4 linked regions of the Schizosaccharomyces pombe genome follow. Changing the gene in region 2 together with the main gene of any one other region gives a genetic interaction. Each region holds a gene or a part of one and is shown on either strand. Other genes may lie near its edges.

Evidence for each region.
Region 1: mutations in spf30 (region 2) and ngl1 together harm fitness less than expected from each alone (positive genetic interaction), as found in Schizosaccharomyces pombe (one large-scale study listed by BioGRID).
Region 3: mutations in spf30 (region 2) and iss9 together harm fitness more than expected from each alone (negative genetic interaction), as found in Schizosaccharomyces pombe (one large-scale study listed by BioGRID).
Region 4: mutations in spf30 (region 2) and SPOM_SPAC977.17 together harm fitness more than expected from each alone (negative genetic interaction), as found in Schizosaccharomyces pombe (one large-scale study listed by BioGRID).

The regions. Positions count from the first base shown.
Region 1 is NC_003423.3:1,123,172-1,130,721, reverse strand, and holds ngl1 (peptide N-glycanase), read right to left. Parts: upstream 4,251-7,550; 5' UTR 4,095-4,250; coding exon 3,768-4,094; intron 3,693-3,767; coding exon 3,516-3,692; intron 3,470-3,515; coding exon 3,310-3,469; intron 3,265-3,309; coding exon 3,226-3,264; intron 3,181-3,225; coding exon 2,882-3,180; 3' UTR 2,754-2,881; downstream 1-2,753. Other genes in the region: mRNA processing protein Cft2, read left to right, coding at 297-669, 733-2,753; ribosomal lysine methyltransferase Set10, read left to right, coding at 4,635-6,278; GTPase-binding protein Rid1, read right to left, coding at 6,437-6,539, 6,589-7,121, 7,190-7,337, 7,476-7,550.
Region 2 is NC_003421.2:1,379,686-1,387,330, reverse strand, and holds spf30 (splicing factor Spf30), read left to right. Parts: upstream 1-3,786; 5' UTR 3,787-3,905; coding exon 3,906-4,841; 3' UTR 4,842-5,276; downstream 5,277-7,645. Other genes in the region: akr7 (pyridoxal reductase), read right to left, coding at 1-529; chaperone EMC4, read left to right, coding at 2,718-3,299; cell wall alpha-1,3-glucan synthase Ags1, read right to left, coding at 5,927-7,645. UniProt on the Schizosaccharomyces pombe protein: Involved in spliceosome assembly.
Region 3 is NC_003423.3:2,963,085-2,970,805, reverse strand, and holds iss9 (nuclear export factor), read left to right. Parts: upstream 1-4,197; 5' UTR 4,198-4,283; coding exon 4,284-4,931; exon of another isoform or gene 4,932-4,981; coding exon 4,982-5,111; intron 5,112-5,179; coding exon 5,180-5,589; 3' UTR 5,590-5,701; downstream 5,702-7,721. Other genes in the region: protein ess1, read left to right, coding at 2,011-2,484; origin recognition complex subunit Orc6, read right to left, coding at 2,599-3,211, 3,270-3,451; bmc1 (Bin3 family regulator), read right to left, coding at 5,731-5,928, 5,971-6,579; plp2 (phosducin family protein), read right to left, coding at 7,131-7,479, 7,543-7,721. UniProt on the Schizosaccharomyces pombe protein: Required for transcription elongation. May also be involved in pre-mRNA splicing.
Region 4 is NC_003424.3:61,721-71,679, reverse strand, and holds SPOM_SPAC977.17 (MIP superfamily protein), read right to left. Parts: upstream 5,001-9,959; 5' UTR 4,538-5,000; coding exon 2,741-4,537; 3' UTR 1,859-2,740; downstream 1-1,858. Other genes in the region: dihydroxyacetone kinase Dak2, read left to right, coding at 5,001-6,776; SPOM_SPAC977.15 (dienelactone hydrolase family, implicated in cellular detoxification), read right to left, coding at 7,948-8,691.

The sequences.
Region 1 (7,550 bases), on a different chromosome or scaffold from region 2:
ACTCAACTCCTTACATGGTATATTTTTAATTAATGATGTTACCAAGAAACCGTATTTAATAAACATCCGTCTTTGTTAATATATAAAAATTACGAAGCCGATTTATCCAATATGCTCGTTGAATGATTTAGATTAACTAAAGATTTAGTTATAATAAAGACATTAAAACTGGTCAATTTAGAAGATTGACAAGTTTTCATATTATAGTATCGCTTGGATATATTCTTTCTGATAGCCATCCAACCCCCACTGTTTACTACCATCGAGTTGTAAAGTCCTGTCTTTGGGCAATAACCATGCTCAACTATCAATGTTTAGAGACAGACTCCTATTGTGGAACATCTCATATTGAGTTAGATGGAATTCATATCTATATAGACCCTGGCAGCGATGATTCATTAAAACATCCGGAAGTACCCGAACAACCAGATTTAATCCTTTTATCTCATTCGGATTTAGCACATATAGGAGGATTGGTTTATGCTTATTATAAATATGACTGGAAAAATGCGTATATATATGCTACTTTACCAACAATTAATATGGGTCGGATGACTATGTTGGATGCAATAAAATCCAACTATATTTCAGACATGAGCAAAGCTGATGTAGATGCTGTTTTTGACAGCATCATTCCTCTTAGATATCAACAACCCACATTACTTTTAGGTAAGCAATTGTTCTTGTGAAAAAAGTCTTTTGAACTTTTGATTATACTAATTCATGATTTAGGAAAATGTAGTGGGCTAACCATTACTGCTTATAATGCTGGACATACCTTGGGAGGAACTTTGTGGAGTCTTATAAAAGAATCAGAAAGCGTTCTGTACGCTGTTGACTGGAACCATTCTAAAGATAAACATCTAAACGGCGCTGCCTTATATTCGAATGGCCATATATTAGAAGCTCTCAATCGACCAAATACTTTAATTACTGATGCTAACAATTCACTCGTATCTATCCCTTCCCGTAAAAAGCGTGACGAAGCTTTCATAGAGTCTGTTATGTCTTCTTTGTTGAAGGGCGGTACTGTTTTATTACCTGTAGATGCCGCTTCTAGGGTATTAGAATTGTGTTGTATTCTAGATAACCATTGGTCTGCTAGTCAACCGCCTCTACCATTTCCTATATTATTCCTTTCCCCTACATCAACAAAAACTATTGACTATGCTAAAAGTATGATTGAATGGATGGGTGATAATATAGTTCGTGATTTTGGGATCAACGAAAACTTATTAGAGTTTCGAAATATAAATACGATTACAGATTTTTCTCAGATTTCTCACATAGGACCCGGACCCAAAGTGATCCTCGCTACCGCGTTGACTTTGGAATGCGGATTCTCTCAGCGAATTTTGTTAGATTTGATGTCTGAAAATTCAAATGACTTAATACTGTTTACACAAAGATCCAGATGCCCTCAAAACTCACTTGCAAACCAATTCATCAGGTATTGGGAACGTGCTAGTAAAAAGAAACGTGATATTCCTCATCCAGTCGGTTTGTATGCTGAACAAGCTGTCAAGATAAAAACGAAAGAACCTTTGGAGGGGGAAGAATTGCGATCGTATCAAGAACTTGAGTTCAGCAAGAGAAATAAAGATGCGGAAGATACCGCTTTGGAATTTCGTAACAGAACCATATTAGATGAAGACCTTTCATCATCATCTTCTTCAGAAGATGACGACTTAGATTTGAATACAGAAGTTCCCCATGTGGCTCTTGGATCTTCTGCTTTCCTAATGGGAAAGTCTTTTGATTTGAACTTGAGAGATCCTGCTGTCCAAGCTTTACATACCAAGTATAAAATGTTTCCATACATTGAGAAGAGAAGGAGGATAGATGAATATGGAGAAATTATCAAACATCAAGACTTTTCTATGATTAACGAACCTGCTAACACATTGGAATTGGAAAATGATTCAGATGATAATGCTTTATCTAATTCTAACGGAAAAAGAAAATGGTCCGAAATAAACGATGGTCTACAACAAAAAAAGGAAGAAGAGGATGAGGATGAAGTTCCTTCTAAAATTATAACAGATGAAAAAACTATCCGAGTTTCATGTCAAGTTCAGTTCATAGATATTGAGGGTCTGCATGATGGACGTTCTTTGAAAACTATTATACCACAGGTAAATCCTAGAAGACTTGTCCTTATTCATGCTTCAACTGAAGAGAAAGAAGATATGAAGAAAACGTGCGCCTCTCTCAGTGCTTTTACCAAGGACGTTTACATACCCAACTATGGTGAAATCATTAATGTTAGTATCGATGTTAATGCATTCAGTCTTAAATTAGCAGATGATCTTATTAAAAATTTAATTTGGACTAAAGTTGGCAATTGCGAAGTTTCACATATGCTGGCTAAGGTTGAGATCTCTAAACCTTCTGAAGAAGAAGATAAAAAGGAAGAAGTTGAGAAAAAGGACGGTGATAAAGAAAGGAATGAAGAGAAAAAAGAAGAGAAAGAGACACTTCCTGTTCTTAACGCCTTGACTTTAAGATCAGACTTGGCAAGAGCGCCCAGGGCTGCTCCACTTTTGGTAGGTAATATTCGGCTTGCCTATCTCCGTAAAGCACTTTTAGATCAAGGAATTTCTGCTGAATTGAAAGGAGAAGGTGTTTTATTATGTGGGGGAGCTGTTGCCGTAAGAAAACTCAGTGGTGGTAAAATATCCGTTGAGGGCAGTTTGAGCAACCGCTTTTTTGAAATTCGAAAGTTGGTTTACGATGCACTTGCTGTCGTTTAACTAATGTATGAAAAAAAAATTTAATTAGGATTACATAAAAAAAAAGCTAGTAACTAGAAAGGATTCATGTACAACATAACTAATAAATGTTTGGTAATAGAAACGGAACGTAAAGCTTTATGAAACAATCATTTTCCTGCTTCCCCTCTTTTCTCTTTCCATTCAACATTCCCCGTTTGTCTTGCTGGCAGGTCAGTGTTAGTGGGCGTGGCCTGGGAAACAGGACGCATATAACCATCAAGTTCATCTTTTTCACGTTTGTCTTCCTCCTCTAGAGCCTTACGTTCAGAATCAGTTAGTCGGGACCGAAACTCAATATTAATCTCATGCAAAGCCTGTTGTAGGACAGATTCGGGGCATCGATCACGAGGAAGACCATTCTCAGGGTGACGAATATATCTATGCGATACATCGCGAACACTATCGACTATTTTTGCATTAGTAACAAATAAAATTAAAACCTTTTCCGTACTCCCAAAACCCAAACAATATGACATCTTCTTTCCCCAACCTAATGCTGTTAGAAATCAAGTTTTTCAAGGAGTTAGAACTCTACCTTGTTCGTATATCAAAGGTTCATCGAATGATTCTTCACCACTATCGACATGCACCCAGCGTTGCTGTTTATTACTATAGACTTCCGTCCACACATGGTCCTCAGCATTCCAAATCCACCTAGCTCTAGATCCAAGTGCTCTGCATAGGAAAGTGAAACACTAAGAAAATGTTAGCTTTATATATTTATAAATATTTTTAACTCACGTTGGCCCACTCTCCACATCTTCCCTTCCTTGAATCAAGCAATGCTCGAATGCGATTATACCTGGGAAATCTCTGATTATGCCCGCATACATTGCATTGATAAAGCTCTACGTTGCGGACTCCATTCCATTTTTCTTCCTCATTGGGGGGACCGTTGCCTGTCATATGAGTTTCACCCTACACATTGTCAATATTCTATATCGTACGGATAAAGAACAAAAAATTGACTACACCGTCAATCATAAAACATACTCCACATTTTTCGCAAGGTGGTTGATTAACCCAAACAAAGAATTCTCGCTTGAACCACTTTAACAAGGCTTGAATCACATAATCTTGGTAACCCCAAGATCCATCTCCCTCTTTTTCTAATTCAGAAGCATCTTGAAATAGTTTGTCAAGTGGTAAAATGCTAAGAGCATAATCCTGCAACTCTGGGTCTTCATACATCCACGGGTGTTGTGACATTTGACGTACTTCATGATAAAAGGGATATGTCTCTGGAGGCTGAGAAGCGTTCTGGGAATTCTTGCTTCTCATCATATCAATGAAACGTTGAGAAATCGCATGAAAATCCATTTTCAGCAAATGTCCTATTTTCAAGAAAATAGCTAACGATTGTAAACAAAAAAAAAGAAAAAAAAAGAAAAAATTAAAGAAGGTATTTGTAAAACTGGATTGATTTACAAAAAATGAGGGTAATGTATTCACGAATCACAATATACGCTAAATTCTAAAAGACAACGCTTTCCTGTAGTCTAATTATGAGTATAAAGACTTCAAATTGTTATCAATTGCAAATTACTACAAGCGTTTTAAACTAATTAGCATCGATACAGTTTTTTGTAACAATACAAATGGCGGTTATCCGCATTAAAAACTGTGGGAGAAACACCCAAATGCGGTTTCAGGGTATTTCAATCCTTACCTTTGAGCAATAGGCGAAGCCAGGCGGCACTCTGCTACCACTTTTTAATTTTATGGTATAATTTATCTTCCACTTTTCTTTTGTCTGTTTTCATTTTTAAAAAGCAAAAATCAGTTTTGATGGTTTGATTATTGGAATTTTACAATTTTTTTTTTTTTCTAATTTACTTCTTTTATACGAACGCTACTTTAATGGAGAAATTACTACACGAAGCCTTGCAAAATGGCTGCAAGCTTCATAAATCTGTCGAATTTATCCAAAGTCGAGACGATAACGCTTGTTTTGGTAGTTATATTGCTGTTGCACAAAACGATATAGCACCTGATCAATTACTTATATCCTGCCCTTTTGAGTATGCAATAACATATAACAAGGCGAAAGAGGAATTAAAAAAATTGAATCCAAATTTTGAGAGTTGCAATCCTCATATAACACTTTGTACATTTTTAGCATTGGAGAGCTTGAAGGGTATACAAAGTAAGTGGTACGGGTACATTGAGTATCTACCTAAAACATTCAACACCCCTCTTTATTTTAACGAAAATGATAACGCCTTTTTGATATCCACAAATGCGTACTCTGCTGCTCAGGAGCGTTTGCATATCTGGAAGCATGAGTATCAAGAAGCATTAAGTTTGCACCCATCTCCTACAGAAAGATTTACCTTCGATTTGTATATATGGTCTGCCACTGTTTTCTCATCTAGATGTTTTTCATCCAATCTAATATATAAGGATTCAGAGTCTACTCCCATTCTTCTTCCTCTCATTGACAGTCTGAATCATAAACCAAAGCAGCCAATTTTGTGGAATAGTGATTTTCAAGATGAAAAATCTGTTCAATTAATTTCCCAAGAGTTGGTTGCAAAAGGCAACCAGCTGTTTAATAATTACGGTCCAAAGGGCAACGAAGAGTTACTAATGGGCTATGGGTTTTGCTTACCTGATAACCCATTTGATACAGTGACTTTAAAAGTAGCTATTCATCCAGATTTACCGCATAAAGATCAAAAAGCTGCCATTCTTGAGAATGATTGCCAATTTCAGTTGAGCAATTTAGTATTTTTTTTGCCAAAGTCCCCAGATAAGGAAATTTTTCAAAAGATTCTTCAATGTTTAGCAGTTGTAACTGCCTCTTCTCTTGAACTTCGAAAATTGACAGCGCATTTGTTGACGGGTGATCTAGCTTCTTATGTCCCTTCTTTACGAGGCCAGATTAAGTCCTTGGAAGTTTTACTTATGTACATCGACTCTAGAGCTGACCTTTTGTTAAAATCAAATCCGCAAGTATCTCCGACCTCTGAAAGGCAGGTTTGGGCCAAAATTTATCGCGATAGTCAGATTAATATTCTTCAAGACTCCATCACTTATGTCAAAAATTATATGGAAGAATCACTCCAAAAAACTTACAAACCTCTTCCAAACCTTTTGCAATATCTCATCCTTAATTCGATATCTATTTTCCTCTTGCAACATCCTTTGTTTGCACCACTTTCGCATGCCATTGAGAGTCTCTATGGTTCAACCGATGCTGAAGCATTGGTCGCTACAGATGAGCAGGATATTTTAATGATATTGATTTGTGTATATTGTTTATCTATTTCTGAAAAATTACCTTTCTCAATTAGTATGCTTGTGGAAGGGTATCCAGCCGTTGCTAATCCAGAAGGTGTTGAAGTCTTTGAAATCTTGGATGAAATGTTTTTTCAACAATTTACAAACGTATTTGGGGAATCCAAGCATTTTAATAAAGAAAATGTTTCTTGGGCATTGCAATTGGTAAATGACGAAAGTCTCGACTTTTCTGGATTTACCTTTATTATTGCCCATAATTGATAAATAAAAATTAAGCGATTAATATATAATGTACGATGAGTATTCCAATATTGGGTTAGGTAAAGTAGATGACAAGACGTATTTTGATAAATGATTAAGGTGTTTAGTGTCTTTTATATACATAGGATGATTGTAGTGCATAGAAAATTAGGGTAAAGTTAGGTTGATCCAGTTTGCACAAGTTTGTATGGCCAATCATCAATTTTAGCAGCCACTATCCATTCACGAAGGGCTTCATGTAGCTTCTTATGGAATTTTTGACTAGATTTGTAAGTGCCTGCTTATATAAATATTGAAAAAAATTGCTTACCTGCTCTTTCGAAACCGTAACCCCATGATTCTTTCTAATCCACTTAGCTGGAGTTCCAAACGTTTTCTTTGACGTTTCTCTAAAGGTAAGCCTTCGAGTAATTCATTAATAAGATGGATGTGAGCTGCAACATAGCTGGTGGCTTCGGTTTCTATACCACCAATAAACCCCAATGGAGCCTCGTACACTTGATTATATTGTTTCTCCAAATCAATGACATTAGAATCGTGGTTCCACACCCAGAAGACATTACGGCTAACATCTTCAAGTTCGATAATCCAACGGCGAAAAGGTCGATCAACTCGAACGTTTTTTAAGAATTCAACCTCTTCATCCTTATCGTCTTTAATAGAAAACAAGGAAAAAACTTGCATTGCACCTTCTTCTTTGTCGAGATGAGCTTTGTAAAAGGAGTGAACTATTTGAACGAGTACTTCCCTTACGACAAAATCACATGGCTGTTTCTTTGAAAGCAAAAGGGAAATCAATCGCTCGACATTATAAGTGGATTGAGATAAACATTCCAATCCGCGCTAGGAAAAACGTTAGCAATTGTCAAAGGCAATGAAGACATAGGTCTAAATGTATATCACATGCATACCTGAACAGTGCACATGGCTTTAACGCAAAGTAAAAGTTGCTCCAGTATAGAATCGTGCAGTTCCTCTCTCCATTCAAGGCGAGAGATTTTGTCGATTGTACAAAATACTACACCGAAACCGCCGTTGTGTATAAACTTCTCTACCCATCTGTATTGCAGTTAGTATGAAAAACCTCAAAATAAACGAATGATTTATCATTCAATCAAAACAATAGTAGTGCCAAAAAAAAAGATAATTTAAGCATCACCACTTTGATTCACGTAGCTGCACAAAATGTAAACATACATTACTTGCTCGTTTCTGAGAAGTAGAGCTAATTTGTGTATGATAGATTCATCGATTGAGTCAATTTTTGTATTT
Region 2 (7,645 bases):
AGTATTCGGTTTCGACTGCCGCAATAGGCACGATGGCAAGGGCGCGTTTGATGCTTTCAGCAGAAGCCTCGCTAAGACCGACACATGAAATTTCTCCTGAGTCTACAAAAGCCTTCAATGCTTTCATGGTAGTTTCAATTGGAACTTTGTGATCAACTCGGGCACATTGGAAGAGATCTAGCTTTTTCTTTCCACGTAAACGAGTAAGTGCATTTTTTACACTCTTAGTCACTGATTCAGGATCTCCATGGGGAGCGAGTGTTTTAAAATCTGTTCCTCCCTTAACTGATAAAAATACTTTATCGGCATTTTTTGGATACTTTTCAAAATAATCAGCCAACAAATCTAAATTGGCAGTAGGAGGATTGATGCCATAGAATTCTCCAGCATTCCAATAGTTCGAACCTTGGGACAAGGCGTAATTCATTAACTCAAAGGCTTGTTTAATGGGAGTTTGCTTGGGTCTCCAAGTTAAACCCATAAGGCCTAAGCCAATAGGTCCTACTTTAAAACCGTTCACAATAGGCATTGTGAAATGACAGTCAAATCGAGAAGAAAAATAATTTTAAGAAATTCTCTAATTCTCACGAAAAGTAAATGTCTACTATACTTTCAGTTCTGGTGCAATTGGTATACCAAATAGTTTCAAAATGGGGAAAACCAACTTGAAACAAAAATCAAGGAAAATATCGTCTGTTTATGAATCTTCAGTAATTTGTATTTCGTGAGCGTCAGTATAAATTTTGTTCTGATTTATAATTTGGAGGGATGTGACGCTAGTCTTACAACATTCAACCTTTCCCACACGTTTACTGTTGATTAGTGAAATTTCTTATTTCTCTGCTTTTTTAGATAACATTGATTTATATTTTTTTGAATTATGTTTTTACAGTGGCCCTTATCTATAATAAACCGTGATCAAGTTTCTGTACCCAGGTCTCTGAAAAAGGAAAGGTTTTTTACGGTTCATATCATGGGTGCTTGAGTTTTTTAGATCATTTTATAATTTGATCAAATGCAACAGGATACTGTTATTATTACTTTACTCAGAAAACTGCCCAACGGTCCTTATCCCATTCATTAGTGTTTCGTATGAATTAGGCCAGAATGAAGTTAGTTACAAAAGCGCGAATTGCTTTTATTTGAGGGGTCTTAGAAAACTGTGAACGGTATAAAAGAGCAGTAATGAAACAATGGAAACTAGAGTCGTATTTAATGTTGTTCAATTTCCAAAGGCTGCCTTTGAATTAGTCGTAGCAGCAATTCTAGCAAACAAGCTATTTGAAAATAAACAAAGTGTCTTTTATATTTCGTTGAATATATTTATGTGAGATTCGAGTGCAAGGAGAATCATTCCGTTTTAAAGAATGGAGGACTTGAAATGGTTTATAAATTGTAAAGAATTTCGTTGAAGGTTCACGTTGTTTTCGACTTTGCTCTATCATAGCAGAACGGCAAGTTTTTCCTCTTGATATTATATATTTTTAAAAATTAGACGCTCGGTCTTACAAGTTATTTCAGGCAATATTAATATACAAGGACAATTATCACTTCTTATGCGCAGTCATATATCATAAACAAGAAGTCTTTTGAACGGAAACTCGAAACAGGAGAAAAGCAAGCATTATCAGTATCGGTAAGGTAATCAATAACAATACATTACACGATTAAAAAGCGATTATTTCAAAATAAATTTCCAGTAATGTTCATTTTTTTTCTTTATGCTTCGAAAATGCACTTACTTTTTAGGCAGAGTATATTGAGTCGTACAACTCAATTTTGGGCTTGCGGCAATATGTTAAAACTCATATTCTAGAATAAGAAAAAAATTCTCACAAAGAGTGCCCTCCAAAACACGTCTTCCTAAATATTTACACCATGAGTACTTTCATACTGTATCCGATCTTTGTTTATGTAATAGCTTGGCTAACGAGATTATGCTTAAAAAGTTACAAAACGATATGTTCTTTATCCATTGAATATTTGAAAACATCTCAGTGTAAAAATATCAATCATTGAGCATGGTATTACCATTGTAAGATAAAGAGTCAGAACTTTTTCAAGATCAAGATCCTATATCCATAAAAGAAACCAAAACTAATTCCAGCTGTAATCAATAATGATCGTTGGGTTTGATAATTAACAAGAAATCATTAACATTAGATGTTTAAGCGTTGTACATATTCATATCCGGGCCATGAGACAGTAGAAAACCAAAGAAAGCACAAAAGCAAGTTAATCTTGAACTTTTATAACAGGATGGCTTTCTTTTTGCCATTGTTTGCGCTTGTATTTTTGGGATTCATTAGCTGATGGGCTTTTCACTATTACCACCAGTTTCGTTCCTTAGCATCTGCCACCTCCACTATATTGTTTATTTTGAAATATTATATTTTGAGGCGTGTTCTCAAATTATTTAGACCAGAAAATTTTTAACTTCAACCAAAGTTATTAATTTGCTTGAAAAGATTGTTCTACCACCCAACTTACATCAAATAACGAAAAACTGAGATTGACTTCTGGTGAAATATCTTGTTTCAGAAACATCAAATAAGGCTGGTCTTCGTATTTTAGAAACATAATTGAGGTGCTACCAATACTTTTTGACTGTAGGTTAGCTGCAATCAGGCTTTTCATTCATTGACTAAATTTATTCCTTGGTTTACGAGTCCAAAAATTTAGTCGCAACTTTAAATTTCTCTTTTTTCCCTTTCAAGATGCACATTAACGAAGAAACAGATTGGATCGATTTGGTCAAACCAGCGTTAGCAAAGAAGCCCAAAAAGATCGTTGACAATTCTGACAAGTTCCCTACGCCTCGAGGATTTCAACAGAAGTCGTTGGTTTCCAAAAACATTCATTCAGGAAATTCAGCTTCCTCAACTTCCATATTTGCTAAACGAGAGGAAGAATTACAAAAGGATCTCTTACTAAAGAAAGCATGGGAGCTTGCATATTCCCCCCTTAAACAAATTCCTATGAACGCTATTTTAGCATACATGTCTGGTAATTCACTACAAATTTTCAGTATTATGACGACTCTTATGTTGCTTGTAAATCCACTGAAAGCAATAACATCTACAGGATCTGCCTTCACCCCATTTAAAGGCACCCACCCAGGAACCCTTTGGCCCGCTATGGGTGCTTATATTTTATTCCAATTATTGCTTATGGGGATTGGAGTCTATAAGCTGCAAAGAATGGGATTATTGCCAACGACTACCAGCGATTGGCTTGCCTGGGAAGTCTCGAAGGTCTTTATGGATCGATCTTATGGTCCTAGTAAAACTGTTTTGTAAGAATTTCATTTACTCCAAAATTTTAAAGATATACGAGTGAAATCGTTAAATTATAGTACCTCCTAATGCCATTGCTTCTAGCTGACCTAGAAAATAATAAATTCATATAAAGAAGGAATGCTTGGAGTTCGGAAACATATTGTCTTCTGGATTAATAATTTATCCTCCATTATGCGGCATTAAACGTTCAATGCCTTTAATCGATATCATGCACGCCATAAACGAACCTCGAAAATACTTGATTATCCAGTTCTTTTTACCCATCCATAGTTTTCGAGAGCATGAAATTTTTGATAGAATACTTTCTTTTACGTCTTGATTATACTGAATATAGAAATATCAAATATTCTTCTTTGTTTTAACTATTATCAATAATGTCTTAGTATATTGAGTTAAAGAATTAGTGCTTTTAGTATAAATTTAATCTCACTCCAATATTGTTTTCTTCACCCTAGTGTAATAGCTGAGCTTAATTTTCAGGCACTTCACTGAGCGCCTGCTTCACATATTATCTACACTTACAACCGGTTTTGGCGATAAAGCCATTACACTTGGAAATTTTTACTGTTTGAAAAAAAAATCTATTAAATCTATAAAAGTAATCGTATGGAGAAGGAATTAGAGGAATACAAGAGCCAGCTTGCTCTCGTTCAAATTTCTCTTCAGAAGACTCCCCAAAACGAGGAATTACAGTTACTGGAAAATGATTTAAAGGAATTAATTAGCCTTACTGAAAACTTACTACAAGAAAGTGTAGAAAATGATAAAAATACGTTTCAAAATTCCCAAAATGGTGTTGCAGGTTTCAATACTTCAAAGCCAGTACATATCGACTTTACGCCTGGAAATTTAGTAATGGCCCGATGGGTTTCAGGAGATTATTTATTTTATCCTTCACGTATTACTGCTGTTTCAGGCTTCGGTGCAAACAAAAAGTACACAGTACAATTTCTTGACTATCCTGACATTGAAACTGTTTCCCTCAAACATATTAAGGCCATGCCTGAGGAAAAACGTCAGGAAATAGAAGGAAATAAAGAAATTCTCAAAAAATCTACCACTATACGTAGTACACCTGTTAGAGAGCCTACAAAAGCAATATCTGTAGCATCTATGTCTACAAGTCCTTCCAATTATGCGTCTCGTGCCTCTTCTCCAGATATGAAGAGTTCGGCGGCTGTAACGGCTAACGTATCTCCGATCCAAAATGTCGCTCAGCATGTTTCAACCCTACCAAAGATCTCTCCCATTCCTCCCTCTAACCCTCCACCTGTTCCTAGTGTTTCATACTCCCAAAAGCAGCAAAAACAACTAAAACCTAAAGCAGCACTTGAAGCATCACAAAATTCTTGGAAACAGTTTGCTGCTCGAGGTGTAAAAACTGGACGCGTTGGCAAACGAAAGAAGATTGGAGAATCTAGTATATTTAAAAGCACTGAAGATTTTCCTGGAAGGACAAACCCTAAAAATTTTGGAAATGTTGCGAGGTCTGGGCATCGCGAAAAGCACATCTATAATTATAGAGAAGACGAAGATAGCTGAGCAATGTGTCTTCATTTGAAACTTGGTATTTAATTAATAGGCTTTTAACAGCCGCTGTTTATGTTTTCATTTATATATTTTTTGGTGCAATAAGCATAAATAAGCTTTTTACAGATCTTTAACCTAATTTCTGATGAAGCTGTCCTGGTTTTCCATATTTAACAAATTGTTCGTCGCATTGTCTACAGCTATAAAACAATTCTTTTGTTGTTGTTGGTGTATACATTAGAGAGGAATGAGTAATTAGAAAAGAATTATTACCTTTCGCATCTTAAGAATTTAACAGCCATAGACTACTTTTTTATATTCACATCTGCATACGGTTTTATGAATAGCATCATTACTATTTTCTGATGCGAAATAGTCATTTCGTTCTTAAACAATAGATCCATTTCCCGTGACATTTGCTAATTGTATTCCACCAAAATTTGACTTCTTAGTTTACAATAGTTGGTGAAAGTAAATCGGTGGTGGTACTATCTTGTCTCGCCATGCTCTTTTAAATAACGGCAACTTATGTTTTTAATAGCATTGTTACATGATAAACTGAAATATTCTATTTGTCATTCGTATTCTATAAGAGGTATATAAAGCCGTATATGTTGAGGGATCATCCACAGACAGCAATGAAAACTAGCTCCTCTAATATACTAGTATTACAAAAAATCTAATTGTATGAAAGAAATCGGTAAGCATACAAAGGGCGGATAGATTTAATTTTGTTTTAATGGAAACATGTAACACTTATCATAAAATGTAGATACTATGCTAATTGAAATTTATAATGCAATTTATGTATGACCAAGTGATATTCCCTTAAATAAAGCTTAGATATAACACATTCTCGTCAGCAAAGCCAAATGCCAACGGAAACTAGATAAGAATAGTAACAAGGATATGAGGAAGTTAAATAAGGTGGATATAGAATATAATGAAACATAACTTGAAGTATTCATTTAAAAGACCTGATGCTCAACAAGACCGAGCTTGGAGGATATTTTGTTTAAAACATCACAGTAACTGTACATGCTCCGATTTCGTGAACTTCAATTAAAATTTCGCTTTGTAAGACTAAGACTAGAAAACTAAGGACGACTAAGGTTTTCACGACGGAAGAAGGCCAAATAACCTACGCAAATAGCAAGTTGACAAATAATATTAATCCAAAAAGGTGCGCTTGCTAAGATTGAAGAGCCATCACCATGATTCCATTTAGTAAAGTCAATAAATACATTAGCAGGTCCCTCACGGTTGGGTGATGCACCACGTCCGATCATTGTAGCAACGGCACCAACTATCTGTCCAGTCATAAGCGTACTTGCTACGTGACGACGAGTTAATGTTTGCAGCAATATCATACCGATTCCAACACTTTGAATAGCATCTAACACCCCCAACCATAGCCATAGTGTACGACCAAGATAAGGACCGGAATAACCTGCCCACGGTAGGTACAAGCCAATATTTGAAGTAGCCCAAAATTGTTGCAACCATCTAGGAGCACCCAATCCGACACCAAAAACGCAGATAATCCAGGAGTGAGTTCGAGATATCCAAGCCAGGACTCCAAGTAGTAAGGCCCAAAGGACGATATAGAAAGCTACAATTAAAAGGAAAATTTGCCACTGATGAATATTTCCAATATCCCACAAGTAAGACCAGGAGCGCCCATTAAGAGATGATAGCCAGAAGTTTTGCAAAAAGACGGAAATGCAAAACCAAACCACCAGTTTTCTTCGCAAAAGTGACTTATAAAAGGCTGGTATACTACCAGACAATTGTCGATAATATTCCGGTAGACCCTTAAACAATAATGCAAAAATTAAGATACTAACAGCACTCAGTGGCCAAGTAATTGAAGGAATGGCGGGAGACATCTTAAAAGTATTAGCTTCACCAGCAGTTAATCTTTTATTGAGATGGGCACCCCAATACCACAAAGCAGCTGACCATACTTGCTGAACTCCTTGGACTAAGCATGCGCGGAAAACCCATATACGAGTTTGCACAGCACCTTCTTCACCAAAATTCAAAGAAAAGAAGATAGATCCGCTAGCCGAAGCAATGGCGTATATCCAGGCGGCAACGTTCGTAATCCATACACGTCCAGGAGCGACTGTGTCAAACGCAGGAAGCCCTACCAAAAACAAAGCAACCGCATAAAAAAGCCAAGGGATCGACAAAACGTAATAAGAAGGAAGACGAGCAAACATAAACCACCATACAAATGAAGCGCCGATAAAGAACGCGCAAACAGAGTAGATCTCGTACGTTTGAATATTGCTAGTACCGGTAAACAATGTAAGTTGATATGCAGTTGCGGCAAGAATCTGACCAAGTGCAAGGAAAATAGAATAAATCGGCCAGTCGTAAATCTTGAAAAGCATAAATTTTTTGAGACCATGAATTGTTTTAAAATCATCGTCTCCTAGCTGAGTGTAGTTGGACTCGTCAGTCATGGCGATTATATCATCATAAGAAGTTTGTCCATTGCTCAAGGATTCGGATTCTTCAGTGCCTGAGTGAGATGAAAGCTCATTGACGTGAAGTTTATTTGGCTTCTGTAAACCTAACTTAATTGCACGACGTTCATGGAAAAATGATCGCTCTGATTTCATTAAGTATTGTTCAATACACAAATCATCCTTAGAATTTTTGGCGTTTAGTTTTTGAAGCTTCTCAGAAAACGACCTTAATGCTTGACCGTCCTCATCAGTAAAAGTCTCTTCAACTCTCGTCAAAGAAAAGTCACGCTTTTCTTTTCCTGACATAACTGAGGCAAGACTAAGACTAGATTCAGTATG
Region 3 (7,721 bases), on a different chromosome or scaffold from region 2:
TTGCTGTCATTTTCACGTAGTCCTCTTCTACGGAACGTTGCACCCTACATTTAACTTTTACTCTATTCTTTTTCTTCTTGTTTAATATTAATATCAGAAAATGTTAAAACGTTTTGCCATAAAGAATGCACGTACTATTTACTAATGTTTTAAGCTTTGCTATGTCTTCTTATCTCATCCGAGCGTGCTCGCTATTTTTTTATTGCTACCAATTTAGCGAGCATGGAGGAAACGTATGTTACTTGTGTTTACTTAGTATTTTAAAGGCGAATAAGGAGGAAGCGTAACGGGCTGGTGAGTGGTCCAATATGCGGGCCTTGGCTTCTAACTCTGCTTATTGGTGAATCTTATGTATTGTAAATCCCGCATTTTTTTAGTCGATCCTTTGTCGATCAAGCTGCACGCGAGCTCACTAAAAATCAAAATAGCAGAATGCACTGCTCTAGCATGTACAGTGTCCCAGTAGATGTAAAAAGAAAGCGTACGTAGTTATGTAATTCCAGATTGCCATAGGCATCTTAGTATAGCTAATATCATCCCTGCTTAGTATGGACTGTTTATATCATTATTTCTACAAATATTACTATGATGGTATTACTTATGATCATTACTGTTGCTGTTGTAATAAACTACTATCATGACTAAATACCATCATTGACTATTATGATGTTTTTCTCTTTTTCCCAACCTCGCTATTCAAACATGAAACATGTATAATCAACTATTGTAAACACTAACTCCAATGCTGTCTCAGCGACTGCCCAGGACTACCTAGTCTAATTGCAGTACAATGGTACCATTTGCAATCCCGACACATGCGATAAATATAGATTATTCACGATTTTCGCACTTTCAACACTTTTATCATCCTCGCTCCGACAATATTGTTTCTCGTATAGCGTCATGTCAGTCGTAAACAGGCCTGAATAATGTCATCTGTTTTTTGTTCTGGCTCTTTGAATGATTCTCGTCGTTAAAGATATGAAAAAAAAAAATTGGCTTAATAAGCTCCTCAACATACACGCCACACCTCTTATTCCTCGCAAGCACTTACTGAATCACTCTTGCTTCTACAAATATGCAGATGTTTTATTGGTGTCAATTTTCAAAAAATACCACTTTACCATACCATACCATACCAGTCGACCTTTAATCACCCTAAAACATTAACCTTTTAGGGATCCCTAGTGAACACAACGTAAAATGCTGCAGGCTAGAATGACTGGCCTTCCCAATTCTGGCTAAGTTAATAAAGGTAAAGAAATAATGTGTGTAAAGGGCAATTGCAGATGAAGGTATACATTGAAATGCTCACACAAGTTGTAATCAATCAGAAAGCAAATAAAAAAGTTGCATGTAAATTTGTCTACGGTAAAGCATTAAATGAAATATGGACAAAACACAATAGTTGGAATTTGACTATTTGCCGTATAAATTCGTGTAGCTGGTTATCTGTGCTACGGCATTGCGAAAAGTACAATATGACTTTTAACATTAAAAATGATACCAAGTATTCGAAAATTACTTGCTGAATAATGATTGTCGAGGATATTTGGCATGTTTTTATATTAGACTAACTATGTATCCGTCACTAAGCAAACTCCAAGTAATTCACTCAAATGAACAGCTATCTTAGCTGATATTTAGATTTTGCCAAGTCTCATTTAATAATTGACTATGTTATATTCTTCATCAATATATTATTTCAATGAGAAAAACGTATCCAATTACTTCAAATTTAGCATTTCTGTAATTTTTTAATTTCATTGAAAAGTATGCTTTAATTGAGTTTTTTTCTGCCCCTCACATTCTACGGACTTAAAATAGGTGTATCTATTCATGCATATTCATTCATTCACCATCGTAATCCACCAAAAGGCAAATTACTCTAATCCTCCAAAATACAGATTCGTTTCGAACAACATACCCATACTCTACTATCTTCTTGTTCTTTCAATTTATTACATATAACGGCTTGTTAAGCTGCATTCCTAGAGTTTCTTTCGCAATATGGGAAAATTTGCTCTTAACTTAAACGCTGAGTTGACTGGTGTGAAAAATTTAGCTCCCAAGGATGAAGAATCCTTCTATTATGCTTTTAAAGTCCAATGTAGTGGTTGTCGAGAGATTCACGACAATGCCATTGAAATCTCCCGCAGCGAGACTCACAGCATACCTGGCAGCAAGGGCGAGGCTAATCTCATATGGACGTGCAAAAATTGTCGCAAAACTTGCTCTTTCGTTATAGAGGGGCCATTCTCTCCTTACAATGATTCTCAAGAGACGAAAAAAGTTCTCGTATTGGAATGCAGAGGATGTGAACTAGTCGAATTCATTCCTCAGGGAGAATGGATAGCTAATGGTGCTGAAAGTAATACACTTTTTGACGAAATAGTATTAGAGGATGATTGGTATGACTATGATGAAAATGCCTCTTCAGAAGTGTCTATTACAAATTTGGAGTGGTCTATTAGTAAAGCTTAGAGTCTAATTTAACTTTTTTTTACTCATGTATTTGTATATATCACTAAAGATATCGTGTACCCGTTTATAAATGTTGTTTAATGTACAAAAAAAAATTAATATAGTAAATTGTATTCATGAAGCAGTACCATCTTTTTCAAGCTGGCTTTTGTAATATTGGATTCTTTCTTCAATGCAGGCCTTCCATATTGGATAATTTTGAAGTCGTTTTTCGTAATCTATTTGAATCATGCTTGCTATCCCACTCCAAGGTTTTATCCGTTGCTTTTGAGATTCATAACCCTCTATACCATTTAAAGGGATTTCTTTATACTGCCAACTTTCTGAGAGGACATGCATCCAATACTGAATTTGCAATGCAGAACTTGTATCCTGTAAAACACTCTGTGCCTTTCTTCTCTCGGTGTGATTTATATGAAGTTCGTCTTTTCCAAAAGCTTTTGCCGATACTAGTAAATAAGCTGCGATTATGATGCCTCTTTTGTGTTCGATGCGCATGTCGTTTGTAACAACGGCTTTCACCAATTGTTTAACATAAGGTATAGCAGTTGAGCCCCCTAGTTTGGTACAAAGATAAGTAATGGTTTCCATCAGATCATCTTTAGCTGCTAAGGATTTAGTTAATGGAGATAAGATTTCTTGAAAGTAAGTGAAAAGTTTATAGTATTTCTTTTTTGGAATTGGAGTCGCTAGTAAATTTATTTCCAAATTTAAATCATTGGATAATCTTTTTAAAGAGTCAGAACAAGTTCAAGTAGAGTAATTAAACATCAGAAGTTACTTACAGTTCACAAGCTAAGTGCGCTGCCATATAAGGACGGCATAACTCTTCTGTCGCCTTTAGATTATGTTTATATTTGGACCATTCCAAAAATGACTCTCCTAAACTAATAAGCCGTTCATTATATTCTGTACTTTCAGTGGGAATTATTCTGCGTAAAGACTCTATAATCTGTTGTCGCTCCATGAGAAAATGAATATATTTAATAAAACTTTTATCATTTAATTTTGATTATTAATTATTGAAATCATGTAATCATTCATAATATCATAATAGTGGTGAACGCTTAGTTTGTTTTATGTCAATATGGTGTTTAATACAGAGACATTTAAACGATGTTTTTAATGCTGCTAATACTACCAGCTGTTTCAAAAATATAAAATCTATCTACTTGATGCACCACTGAATTTGGTGTTTATATTCCGTACTTATTTAATATGACTCTTGCTTAATCATTCCGGTTGCTAGTTATCTTAAATAATGTCACCAAAAGCTTAGAATTTAGACCTACATTCTTCAAGATATTACTACAAAACTTTCGAAGCAGTCTTCAAATTTTTTTTTATTTAATAATGAATTACGATTGCTTTATTGGGAGGTAGTGTTTTAGGCTTGATAATTCGGTATATTACTCTCTTTTAGTAGTTTAATCAAGGCTATATGAGGCATACAGAATAAAATATGCGTGAATAGCGTGAGTTAATATTAACTACTTTCCATGTTGGTTTCATAAATTTTAAGCGAACAAACAAGTTTAGGTGGAACCGTTGAATTATTTGATGACTTTTTAAATTTTTAAAGGAAAAAATGATGAACGATCAACTGAATAGTAATAAATTAATCCTTATTGATTGAAAGGTTGGATAATGAAATCGACTTACAACGTTACTGACAGGGTTAAGCTGACGGACTCGCACTTCTCATACAATCTCGGTACTCACCACTTTAGCAATTGAGGAAGTTGAGAAAAGTACTTAACTTTAGCATTAATCATATAGCTCAATGAAAAATATTAAATATGAAAAAAGAACATCATAGCCCTTGGCCGGACTCTTTGAAAGAATTTATTGGTAGATGCATCCAAGACGCTGAGGAAAACAGCCAGCCAGAATTAGAGGATGAAGTAAAATTGCTAATTTCTCGTCAATACGAAATGGGAAACATATGGAATGTTGATTGGTCTTCTATGAATTTAGAATCCCTAAGGAAACTGACAAATGCTCAAAATACAATCATCGAAGATAAAAAAAGAAAGGTTGAGAAGCCTGTTTCTGGAAATCAATTTTCACTTTTAAGTGAAGAAGATGAAGTGGATAAGAAAGAAAAAAGAAGAAGAAGGTTTGAAAATGGTTCTCGTTCTCAAAATAACGCTAAATCTGAAGAGCTAAAAGTCAACCCGGAGAATGGTGCTATTATAGGACGGTCCACAGAATTAGAGAAAAGGTATTTGCGATTAACTTCGGCTCCTGATCCGGATACTGTTCGACCCCTTCCAGTTCTTAAGCAAACTCTCGAACTTTTAAAGAAGAAATGGAAAGAAGAGAAAAACTATGCATATATATGCGATCAATTTAAAAGTTTAAGACAGGATTTAACTGTGCAAAGGATTCAAAATGAGTTTTCTGTATTAGTTTACGAAATACATGCTCGTATAGCTCTTGAAAAGGTACGGTTAATTACTTTAAAATATCATTTCTTCTTCTAACGTTCGACTAGGGTGATGTTGGCGAGTATAACCAATGTCAAACTCAATTATTTCATCTTTACAGTTTTGGTATACCAGGGAATACTAAGGAATTTTTAGCATATCGTATTCTGTATATGCTCTTCACTAAAAATCGATCTGGTAAGTTAATTACGGCTTACTGCTTAAAAGAATATATCTTTTGAATTCAAATTATTAACAATTTATAGAAATGAATAGCCTTCTCGCCAATCTAAAAGAAGAAGACAAAACAAACGCTGCTGTTACACATGCATTAGAAGTCCGTTCGGCGATGGCTACTGGCGATTACTATAAATTTTTCCATCTATATTTAGTCGCTCCCAACATGGGAGGTTATTTGATGGATCTTTTTATTGAGAGAGAACGAGTGCAGGCGATGATAATGATGTGCAAAGCATATCGCCCTTCTCTTACAATGGAATTTTTGGCTAACACACTAGCATTTGAAGAAATGGAAGATTGTGTAAACTTTTTTAGGAGTTGTAATGCTGTATACGATTCAAAAGATCCCAATCGCATACTGATGAAAGAAAGCACGGATAGATTCGAAAAATGCATGAAAAAGCATGCTGTGGTTGATATTAAAGGCCAAATCTAATAATAAAACTACTTCATTCCGCTTTTCTTTCTTTCCTCATATGTTGAATTAGAGAATTTAATAAAAAATGAGACACGTCCTTTTGGGACATTATGCTTTATAGTTCCAGTCATTGTCTATTCTTAACGTTTTACTAGACAATTAAGTAGAAGTTAATAGTTTTATGATTCCAATTCCTTTTTTTTTATAGATATACATTGTTCGTTTGGCAAAATTCTTGTACTCAGAGTTATTTACTTGAGGTTCGATACTGTATTCAAGCACTAGTCCTGCTTGATTAAGCAAATGTTCAAACGCATCAGGTTGGATTTTGAGGTTCTCAGGTGTTTGATTAAAAACCTAGAAAAGTAAGAGTTAGAAGTATTGATAGTCGTGACTTACAGATATTTTTTTTGCAGCTTTCAAGTACGAGTCCCATCCTTGAGGTTCTAAAATAAGAACACCATTCGTTTCCAATAAAGAACTAATCTTCCCAAAGAATTTAATGATTCCTTCATCGTGGTTATTTAGATGCACCCATTTAGATACGGATAATGCTAGTATTATTTTGAATTTTCGTTTCGATTCCCAGCGCAAGAAGTCAGCGGTCTCAAATTCTATATTGTGAGGGAAATTTTGCTTATTGAGAGGTGGTTGAAGTTGCACTGGTATCCTGGAAAACTTTTTAATGCTTGAAATGGGGTAATAATTAAACTGGTCTTCTACAATGGAACCAGGATTGCGTACAGGGCCAATTCGAGAGCTCACAAACTCAAGATGTTTTCGAGCTTTTTGGATGAGAACATGATCGATATCCAATCCCAAAACAAATGATGCACCAAATATTGAGGCAATTTGAGCAGACACTGTCCCATTATTGCATCCTATATCTAAAACTGAAGCCTCATAAAAAAGGGAATCAGGCAAACATTTAAGTCTTGGATCGATAATTGAGGTTCCTCCCCTCATGCTGTAATAACTGTGATAATTTCCATGTTGAAAATTCGACATCCCAAGTCGAGGAGGTTTTTCAAATCACCCCTATTTTTTATAAAAGTATAAATTTTGCAATGGAATTTAAACGAAAACTTACGAATCGAACTATTTAAACAAAAGCGAGAAGTTTCAATTTGTTGTTGTTACTAATACATTAACGATGTTTACATATCTTGAAACTCAACGTCCGACTCGTAAAAACTAGTCTTAAAGCATCCAACAATTTAGAAAGGATCGCTAGCGGTAAAAAAAATAATATCAAAAATATATATATATATATATTATCCTTTTAGCAATTCTTCGAAAGTTATTTTACTTTTGTATGTACCTCGATTTCAACGTCTTTTTGCAAACTTATCTTCGAAGGTGTTTTTCCCTTTATGACTAAAAATTTATTGCTTACGTAGACAGGTTAAGATAGTTTAAAAAATGTTTAGTATATGCAAAATATATTTCATTCTAATTACAAGAACGATTAGGTGGGCTTTTTCTTTGAACAAGATTCCTTCATGTAAAATAGCAAGATGAGAATAGTTTTACACTTTATAAGTCAATTCAATCTAAACTCAATCAAAATCATCATCCAAATCGTCATTAACGGAAGAATCTCGTTTACCTAACTCATCTTCTGCATTTTGTGGATCCTTCAAAGCTGCAATATCACTGTCCTTTAAGGCACCGGCTCTAACCAATGCTTCAGCTACATCAACTACACTAGTGTTCATTCCTCCTAAAGTAGCTAAGGTTAGAATTTGTTGTTGTAAGTCTCCATGACCGTATATCAAAAGAGTTGGCATCATCGCTTCAGGATAATTTTCGACTGCTTGTTTTCCGGGAATTTTTACAAATTTAATTTGGGGATACATTGGTGCTAGTCTCTCTAAGATAGCAGCTAATAATTTACAGGCCGGTAGTCTTGAATTGTAGTGTGTTAGTATTGACCCATTGAAAATGCAAACAAATGAAGAACAAACGTACGAGTCTTGGAACATATGCACAACGACAAACACTTCCTTGCTTGCATCTGTGACTTCAGCTGTATATTCTGGTTTCGAAATAGGATATACTGAGCCAAATTTTGCTTTTGACATTTGATCCTTCCACTCCTGCATCCGCTTGTTTCTGTACATTTGTAAAAACTCATCATCTTCTTCGTC
Region 4 (9,959 bases), on a different chromosome or scaffold from region 2:
AAAATAAATTATTGTGTTGTTTTACATATACACACTTCTATAACTTACTTTATTATGTGTATGTGCGCCTTTTTTGGACTGCTCTTTTACATTCGAAATACAAATCATCTTATTCCAGAGTATTTTTCATGAATAAAAATTCGATATTCGTACTAAGCAGAAATATCTAAATGGATTAAACTATGTATATATATAAATGTTTCTTTCTTCTTCTTGAAATTTTCTTGACTGCTATTTTTTTGAAAATTTCAACCGAACTCTTCTTAAGTAATAACTCAACTATCATTTCATTGTATACCGCATATTCTTATTTTATGAACATTGATATGAATATTCAATGCTCAAACTGTACTTGCACTGGATCATTATATTATCAGGAATATCTTTTTCAGTTATCCTATTTTTTTAATATATTATTAATAAACTAATAAATTGTGCCGTTAATAACACAATACATTTCATGGAATATGCACTAGAATTGTTAGAAAATACAACTTACAGAAAGCAGCCCCTTTTTTTCTTCTTTCCATTGCATGCAGCATCCTATCTTAAATGTGAGTTGATGTATTTTCGAAATACTTCGTCTCCTTTCTTTAATATTTGCCGGTCAAATAAATGTTCGGTTGAGGGGCCGTATTTTTAGACCAAGTCCAGACTCATCGACCCAAAGTAAAAACAGTTATTGAGTAAGGAGGCGTAATTTATAGTAAAATCTAACGCAAATGTGGGACTGAATATTTTGTCTACATTTGTGGAAACATCGAAATTTAGAACATTTCTAAAGTTGCACATGGTTTTAAAGATTTTTTTACGTGTGGTTGAAAAGAATGTATTATTTCATTCGTAAATGATTTTATGGATATTATATTTTGATAGCAGCTTCATGCTTGCTCCGCTCAAAATATCTAATTGAAAGACAGCCATTTTAGTCATAAATGTTGTAGAATCTGCTCAGAGCTTACCAAGTTACTCTCAACGCTATAAGCAGAAGTAAAATGTACACAAAAAGAAATCCCAAGTAAGTATTGCGGTTTCTCAGAGTTGAGATTTTTTTATTTCACGCGCTTAAGAAATCATTTCAAGTTGTAGTTAGGATTAATAGATCTGATAGAAGTATAATCGTTACAAATAGACCGCCGAGGCAAAGCGAGCTTTTTTTTTCAGAAAACTGACAATACTGGAGCCAAATTAAACAAGCGTTTTCTAGTTGCAAGCTTCCTGAATTAGTAAATTTAATTGCTATTACGGCTGCGAATTACATGTAAAAACTTTTAATTAATATTATTTGCGAAGTTGATTCATTTTGTCACTATCAATATCGTCTAATTAAAACAGAAAAAAAATATTTGCCATCGCATACTAGTTCTTCTCTTCCCAAAACAGAGGTTTGGTATTCATAAAATGACTACTGGAATATCCAATATATTAAACTCGGATATTAAACATAAAAAGCAGGGTTCCGGACATTCAATTTCCAAGTGAGTTTGAACTTTATAAATACATACCGTAAAAATACTGGAAATGAAAGTAATTTTAAAATTTAATAAACTACGGTTTTAGTTTTACGGGAATCCTTGCATTCCGAAATAAATTTTGATAATGCCTTTGGAAAAATAATCGGTTTATATAATGACATTAGTGAATCTACAAGCTGTTCCCACTGATTTTATAAGTTTTTTTACAAAATGCTTTCAGTCGTTGGTTTGCTTTATAATTTTATAGAAGTTTGATTATTTAACTATTATACGAAAACAATACCAAATAATGGGTTACCGAAAAATATTTTTTAAACAGCGTGTTCATGAAAATATTGGTATTACATTCAATATCTAGAATGTATTTTATGTTTAAAATGTACAGAAAAATTTCATCCTCGTTGAGCTTTTAAATATTAACAAAACATGTTTTAACAAAATCGACAAAAGTGAATCATAAAATTATATATCATAACATAACGTCCAATTATTCTAAATAAAAAAATCTTTAGATATGAGTTAAAACTTTTTTGATATCTTAACTAATTTAGCTAAATCCTAAGTATGTTAACCAAATAGAGAAGCAAGTATTTCATGACGTAATGGTCATATCGGCCATTTTTAATATCTGTTGTTTTGAAAAACCAAATGTTTTAAGGACTAAAAATTACAGGTAGATATATGAATAAATAGCAAAAAAGAGAAGAGAAAATTTCGGTCAAAGTTGAACTTGAAAAGGGGGTTGGGCAATATAAGTAATCATACAAGGTAATCGTACTACTTTCGCAGTACATAGAGTAAAGAAGAGAGCAAGAAAATTGTGTTACGCAAAGCGGAAGAAAAATCGGTAATACGCAAAAACGTAAAAAAGAAGTCAACAGGAATCCAAAAATTAGGTTTCAAAGTAAGTTGAGGGAAGAAGTAATAAATTCGAGACACCGCAATATAATGGGAAAATCGTCTTTTTTGATATGAAATCAATTTTAATTGAAGCTGCCGCTATTGCAACAACATAAGGGCGTCCCAAGCATTAAGAAGCTGAAAATTTTTACAGCAACAAAGAGTAACACAACAAAACCCTAGTGCTTAAATTAAACAAAAAAAATGGGGAAGACATAGCTCTTTGTCCATCTCAAAAGATAATATAAAAGCTAATATATGCTTAGTATAAAGAGAAAAGCTGCTCCACAATAATAAGAATAAATAAATAAAAAGTAAATGGTTTCAATCTTCTGCATTTTGTGACATGAAAGATTATTAAGAGTTCAATTATTCTCAATCGGAGAATCTGTTTTTTCCAAGTTTTCAACCTCTTCTTCCTTCTCAAATTTTGCGGTAATCTGATGCACTTTTTTATCGATAAACCCGTTATCTGGATAATTAAGTGGAGACTCTGGGCCCGTAAATATTACTAAATCATAAATAAGTCCTCCAGCAATACCACCTCCTATGGTACCGCCCCAAGCACCCCAAGTCCACCACCAATGATACAGGTGAAATGAATGTGGTCCATAGCCAATCCACCATGCAAACATACGAGGTCCCAAGTCACGAGCTGGATTCAGAGTGAAACTTGTTTGATATCCAAGAGCCATACCAATAGCTGCAATAAGCAAACCAACGATAAAAGCAGTCATGCCCTGGGTTGGTGGAGAGTTGGTATCATCTAGAATGGCGAATAAACATCCTACCAAAACGGCTGTTCCAATAAACTCATCGAAAAATGCGTTTCTCCAAGTGACGTATGGTTTTGGATTGGTGTACAAACAACCACCTGTTGCCGGTGTTCTAATATCTTTGCCTCCTTCAAATTCAGTAATTGAACTCCAATGGTAACCATAGGCAAGTGCACCTCCAAAGAATGCACCCCAGATTTGGAAAAAAATGTAGATTGGCACTTTATACCAAGGAAATTTGCGAAATATGGCTAATGAGATAGTCACAGCGGGATTGACATGACCACCACTGATTCCACCAGCTATATAAACGCCAAGCATGCAACCAAATCCCCAAGCAAAAGAAAGGGATTCGAAGCTTCCACCTGCTCCATTAGTGACGGTAGCTTGCAAATTACTGCCTACACCAAACACAACCAAAACCAAAGTGCCCAGGAACTCAGCAAAACCCTCACGAAAAAAGTGTCTAATCTTGCACCAATAGTTGAGATACAGGGTTTCAGTATCGCTTCCCGAGTCTAAACTTTCTTCAGCAATAATTTCATTAGGAGGCATAGTAATATCTTGAGATGAATCTTGTTCAGCTATTGACGGTTTCCTAGAGAAACTAACATTATTTCTTGGGGTCTCTGGTTCAGCATTTTCCGCATGCTCTACCGTTATCGCGGAAGACTTACGCTGGGTTTGGGGTTGCTCCTCAGCAATGGATGGTTGACGGCTGCTTTGAAGCGAGAAACTAACTTTGGGTCTTGAAGCGGCTTGTTCCGCTATGGAAACGGAAGATTTATTGCGCGGCAATTGAGCTTCTTCATCATTAAGCTTGACTCTTGATCCAAAAACAGCACTCTTCATTTTCCGTTTCCAATTGGGCGATCCATCCATACCAGCCAAAGAGACCGAGGAGTTTGCTCTGGAATTTGCTCTGGAATTCACCCTGGAATTTGCTCTAGAACGAGCTTCCTGATTCTTTTGAGATATTTTTTCTACCACAGAGTTACCAAGAACATGTGGCAATGGTCCATTCAAACTCCACACCGGTTTGTTGGGTCTCCTCCCAGCATTCAATTCTTCGTAATAAGGATCAACATAATTTCGACGCGATTGTCCGGATATATCTTCAAGTCTTCCAGCAAGGTACCCACCAAGCCAGGGTTGAGAATCCGAGTCGGCAGTGTTGTCCAGGCCTTTGAGGTTGGGTGAAGAGAACGCAACTTTTAGGGTATTTTTGGGACGCATTTGTCGAGCTTTAGTGGTATTGACTCTTCTTGGCACGTCCGTCGTATTGAAAGTGTCTAATTCAGTTGTGGGACCATCATCATGCACGCTCTCATTATCTGAGGCTGAAGGAGATGATGATGGTGTCGAGAAGCGTAAAGGGACGCTCATTTAGTAGTGAATTAGACGGGACAAATCTTGGCTTTTATGGAAATTTTTTGAATGCACGCGGGTACTGGCGGGAATACCAAAATTAAGGTTTGAAATAGCTTTGGGAATAAGGTGGAGTAAAACAGTGCATTATATACTCATGCAAGTGGTCCAGATAACCGAAGTTAAGCAACCGTCGATGACAACGTGTAGTGGCGGCACAAATTTGGTGACGAATCTTAAGCGCAAATCAATTTATCTACAGAATATTAAGAATATGTGTTATAAATTTCCCTGAATTGGACAAGTTTATACAATGCGTTTGCACACTCGCATAACTGCCGCTTCAACCGTAATCAACAATTGGTCAGCTAGGCGGGTATGCCGGATATTTGCAAATCTTAGAACGCACCGCGCGCGGGGTAGTAGTAATGTAAAGAATGAGATAAAAAAGCAGGAAGGGAACGTTTCTTTTCAATTAAAAATGTCTGTAAAACAATTTGTATCTGACGGACATATAGTACGCCCATACTTGCTTGGACTTGCTAGAAGTAACCCTGGTCTTACTGTTATTGAACATGATCGTGTGATTTACAGGACAGCTTCTGCCCCGGGTTCTGGTGATCTTCCTAAAGTAACTTTAGTGTCTGGTGGTGGTAGTGGGCACGAGCCTACACATGCAGGTTTTGTTGGTGATGGAGCCTTGGACGCTGTAGCTTGTGGAGACATTTTTGCTTCTCCCTCTACTAAACAAATTTACTCTGCCCTCAAAGCTGTTGCTTCTCCTAAGGGAACTTTAATTATTGTCAAGAATTATACAGGCGATATTATTCATTTTGGCCTGGCAGCTGAGAGAGCCAAGGCAGCTGGAATGAACGTTGAGCTTGTTGCCGTAGGAGATGATGTTTCTGTAGGCAAAAAAAGAGGTGCACTCGTAGGAAGAAGAGGTTTAGGAGCCACTGTGCTAGTACACAAAATTGCGGGATCTGCAGCAGCATTAGGATTGGATCTGCATCAAGTTGCTCAAGTGGCCCAATCAGTGATTGACAATGCTGCTACCATAGCAGCTTCATTGGATCACTGCGCCGTTCCCGGTCGCAAATTTGAAACCAACTTGGGTCCAGACGAGTATGAGATTGGCATGGGTATTCATAACGAGCCTGGAACCTTCAAATCATCACCACTTCCATCTATTCCCGAGCTAGTTACAGAGATGCTTTCAATTTTGTTTGGTGAGAAAAACCCGGACAATAGTTTCGTAGAGTTTTCTTCAAAAGACGATGTTATCCTTCTAGTAAACAATATGGGTGGTATGTCCAATTTAGAGTTGGGATATGCTACTGAAGTAGTTTCGGAACAATTAGCCAAACGAGGTATCATTCCTAAAAGAACCATGTCTGGTACGTTTGTAACCGCTCTGAACGGTCCTGGTTTTGGAATTACATTGGTCAATGCTTCTAAGGCTACTCCAGATATTTTCAAATATTTTGACTTGCCAACAACCGCTAGTGGATGGAACGTTTCTTATCATAACGCAAAGGACTGGGAGGTTTTGGCTGACGGCAAGGTGCCAACAGCTCCCGCTTTGGAGCATACCCGTAATGAGAAGCACAGCGGTGTAAAGGCTGACCCAAAGATGTTTACTAAAATTTTAAAAGCTGCCGTTGACGCTATCAATGAATTTGAGCCAAAGACAACTTGGTACGATACGATTGCAGGAGATGGTGATTGTGGAACAACCCTTGTGAATGGTGGAGAGGCCATCACAAAGGCTATTAATGATAAATCGATTCGATTGGATGATGGTGTAAATGGTATTGACGATTTGGCCTATATTGTTGAGGATTCGATGGGAGGTACATCGGGTGGTCTTTACTCGATTTATTTGTCTGCGCTAGCCAAAGGAGTTCATGAGTCAGGCGATTCCGAATTATCCGTGCATACATTTGCGTTTGCAAGCAAGTATGCACTTGACGCTCTTTTCAAATACACTAGAGCCCGTAAAGGATTCCGAACGCTTATTGATGCTATTCAACCATTTGTTGAAACTTTAAATGAGGGTAAGGGACTTGATGCTGCTGCGAAAGCTGCCACTGAAGGTTCTGAACAAACTAGAAAAATGGATGCTGTCGTTGGAAGAGCATCTTATGTTGCTAAAGAAGAACTTCATAAGCTTGATAGTGAGGGAGGATTGCCGGATCCTGGTGCCTTTGCATTGGCCGCTATTTTGAACGCAATTGTTGAGGCAAGCGAACATTAAAGCGTTTTTTATCACTACCTCAGAATTTGGCTCTATGTTAATAATGCACATAGTTAATGTTGGAAAGGCATATCATGTAACCTGAGTTTAAAATTGTTTTGGCTTTCTTTTAAAATTTTCACCATAATTACAAAATGTTTGATTAAATTTTGTATCCACTGGCTTTTTTAGAACTTTCTTTTAAGAATCAATATATTGCGAATAAAAAAGCTTGGATCAAATGATTACTGATGTATTATTTACACTTTTGGTCCTATTGTCTAGTATTAATTTGTAGGAGGCGTTGGAGAACGTGAAAATATTGCAGTAGTTATAGCTTACAATTCGTCAAAAAAAGAGAATTACATGCAGAAATTGTTAAACGAATTTACCTGCCGAAATGCTATGTAGATCTGATCTGTAAAGCGAAAACGAAGTAGACAATCACATGCACTGTATGGTTTTTTTCAAAAGACTGACATGTTACTCGGTCGGCGATCATAAACTGATCATTTAGCCAACCTTTCTGATTCTTAGCACTTGGTAGATGTTTGCTGAATACTAGACGGAAAATTACGTGAAATGTGTTGACAGAGAACGCTATTATCCAATAAACATTTTGGACAAACTATTTTGTCTAAAATGTAATTTTTCTTCAAATAAAGTAAGCGATTAATTTTTTATTATGTTTGTTTTAATGAAGAAATTTGAAATCTAGAAAACCCAAAAAAAAATATCTTGCATGAATTCAGTGTTTCCTTAAGGAGATCCGCACACTTTCAAGTTGTCTCGTTCTGTGTTATGAAACAGCTAGTTAATTATAACCATAAAACTAGACCGTAAATCTTTGTACGAATTCGGAAAAAGGTACGTTTTATTGAAGCAGCTAATGGATGAATTTATAAAGCATTCAGCCTAGTTTTTTCTTTTAAGATTGATAAAAATTTTTGTAATTTCAGAAATTTCTAGTTAGGTAGTATATGACGAATATGGAAATAAATTAGGCCGCATTAAACTTTTGAAATTGTATCCTATAATTACTCTCAATTGAAAATGATAATAGTTGCAGTAGTTATAATCACTTAACGAAACTTTATTGAATATGAAATTAACAAATGTTGTTGGCGGTCAACGACAGGTGCTATATTTATTCTTAACTAATCCAAAAATCTCTAAGCGACACCAATACTATTTAAAAAAGTTCTTTAAAGAATTTTAAAAAGATTTGGTAACCTAAATCAAAATATTTTCGATTTTCAGGATCCGATAGGTTGGCTCGAGCTGCCATCCATCCGTGATGCATTTTTCCAAAAGTCTCAAAATACGATTCAGAAAAATATGGAGAGTTTTCGAAACTTTTCTTCCAAGCATCAACTTCCTCAGGATCTTCGTCCTTTGAACATAGAAAGCAAACTGGACAATGAACATGTTTAGCGTCTACAGGATCAAGAAGAGATGGATGCGCACATCCAATACGCAAGAATCTTTCTTTATTAGGATATGTAATCAATACTTTGGCACCCCAGCAAAAACCATAAGCACCTATTTTGACATCTTGACCATGTATCCTTTCAATGTCCTCTATGACCTTTGTTAATTTAGGCCAATGTAGTGGAGAAGAAATTTTCTCCATAAATTTACTACGTGCTTCTTTTTGCTCAATCGTTTTTGGATCTATCATTTCTATAGAGGCTGTTTCACCATTCAGAAAATCAGGAAGATAAATAGCAAGCTCGTGATTTGCCAACTGATCAGCTCCTTCCTTTATTTGTTTACTTAATCCGAAAACATCCATAAATCCAATTAAAACAACTTTACTTGAGCGCTTACCAGTGAAGTAAGTCTGCATCCCTCCAATGTCTTTCAGCATCTCGCCTTGGAGTTCGTAATTACGGTTCGTAGGGGCCGCACCGCTTTTAGTTGGGCAGCAAGGCATTTTTTTACTTCGAATGTAGTAAATAGAGTAGAATTTACGTTGAATTAGTGCTCATTTTGAAATTATATAAAGTATAGTCGGTACAAACCCGAGGAACCGAGGGCTCCGTTTTCCGCGGAGTTGGCCATAAACTAGATATCCAAAAGTTACTAAGGAATAAAAGATATACAAATGAATTTAATTTAGCCAACATGCAATCAGAAGATTCTGTATATGAATTTGCTTTGGTAATTAAAGTACGTTTATTACTAACTTGTGAAATGCTTCCAATTTAAAAGGGCTATTATTTATATAATATAAAGAATCTGTAGCATGACCAATATTTATTTATATACTTAACATCGAAGAAAAACTATTGATTTTCATATACTGTTCGTATCGTATGGCAATTGTACATAAGTTTAATAAGACAATCCATATGTAGCTTGATGGGATATGAACATTATTATGCATTAACTTTCTCAAATGTCTTAATTCTTTAGTTAATTTATTTAATTCTTAAAAATAAAGAAAGGTATTTTATAACTTTCTAGAATACTACTGAGTAAGTTCAATAAATAAGGAAAACCTTTGAATCTGAAGCTAAAATATCGATTTGGAAAGAATCGGCTAATGGCTTTGTAAATCTGCGGTAGTATGTTTTTTCTGTATCTTTGGGAAATAAGATAACCCGAAAAGTACAAACGTTGGAAGTGAAAGTAAGTGGAAGACAAAAAAAATTACTGCGTTCTGAGAAATGATTAAATGAAAGGGAAAAACGAGTAAACAGTGATATCCTTAAGCGATTTCCCTTTGATAGTGATATTTATTTTTTTTTGTAGAAGAAATTGACGAAGTAAAAGACATCTTTTTCATTAATAAAAAAATTAATTTAATAAGCAACTGAAGATCTAACATGTATTTGCTTAACAAGTAACTGACCGTTGGTTTATTAATGATTATGAAGAATAATTTTTTTTTTAAAAAGAGTCTTTAATGAAATAAATCATTTTCTACCGTTTTATAAAATTTTCAAAATATTTATTTTTTCGACCATTACTCTGCCAAGCACGAACACTTAAGTATATCATTTCAATTTTGAAATTATTATAATTTCTTAATATATTATATCTACTCCATAAACAAGGCCCTCAACTGTTTTAAAATACTCGAGGAGGCGTGCATATTAGTAACCGGATGAATAAAAGTAAAGCAACTAAAATAGTTAATAGAAGGAAATATTTATGAATTTATTCTTCGGATCTTATTATATGAGAAATTTAAAAAAA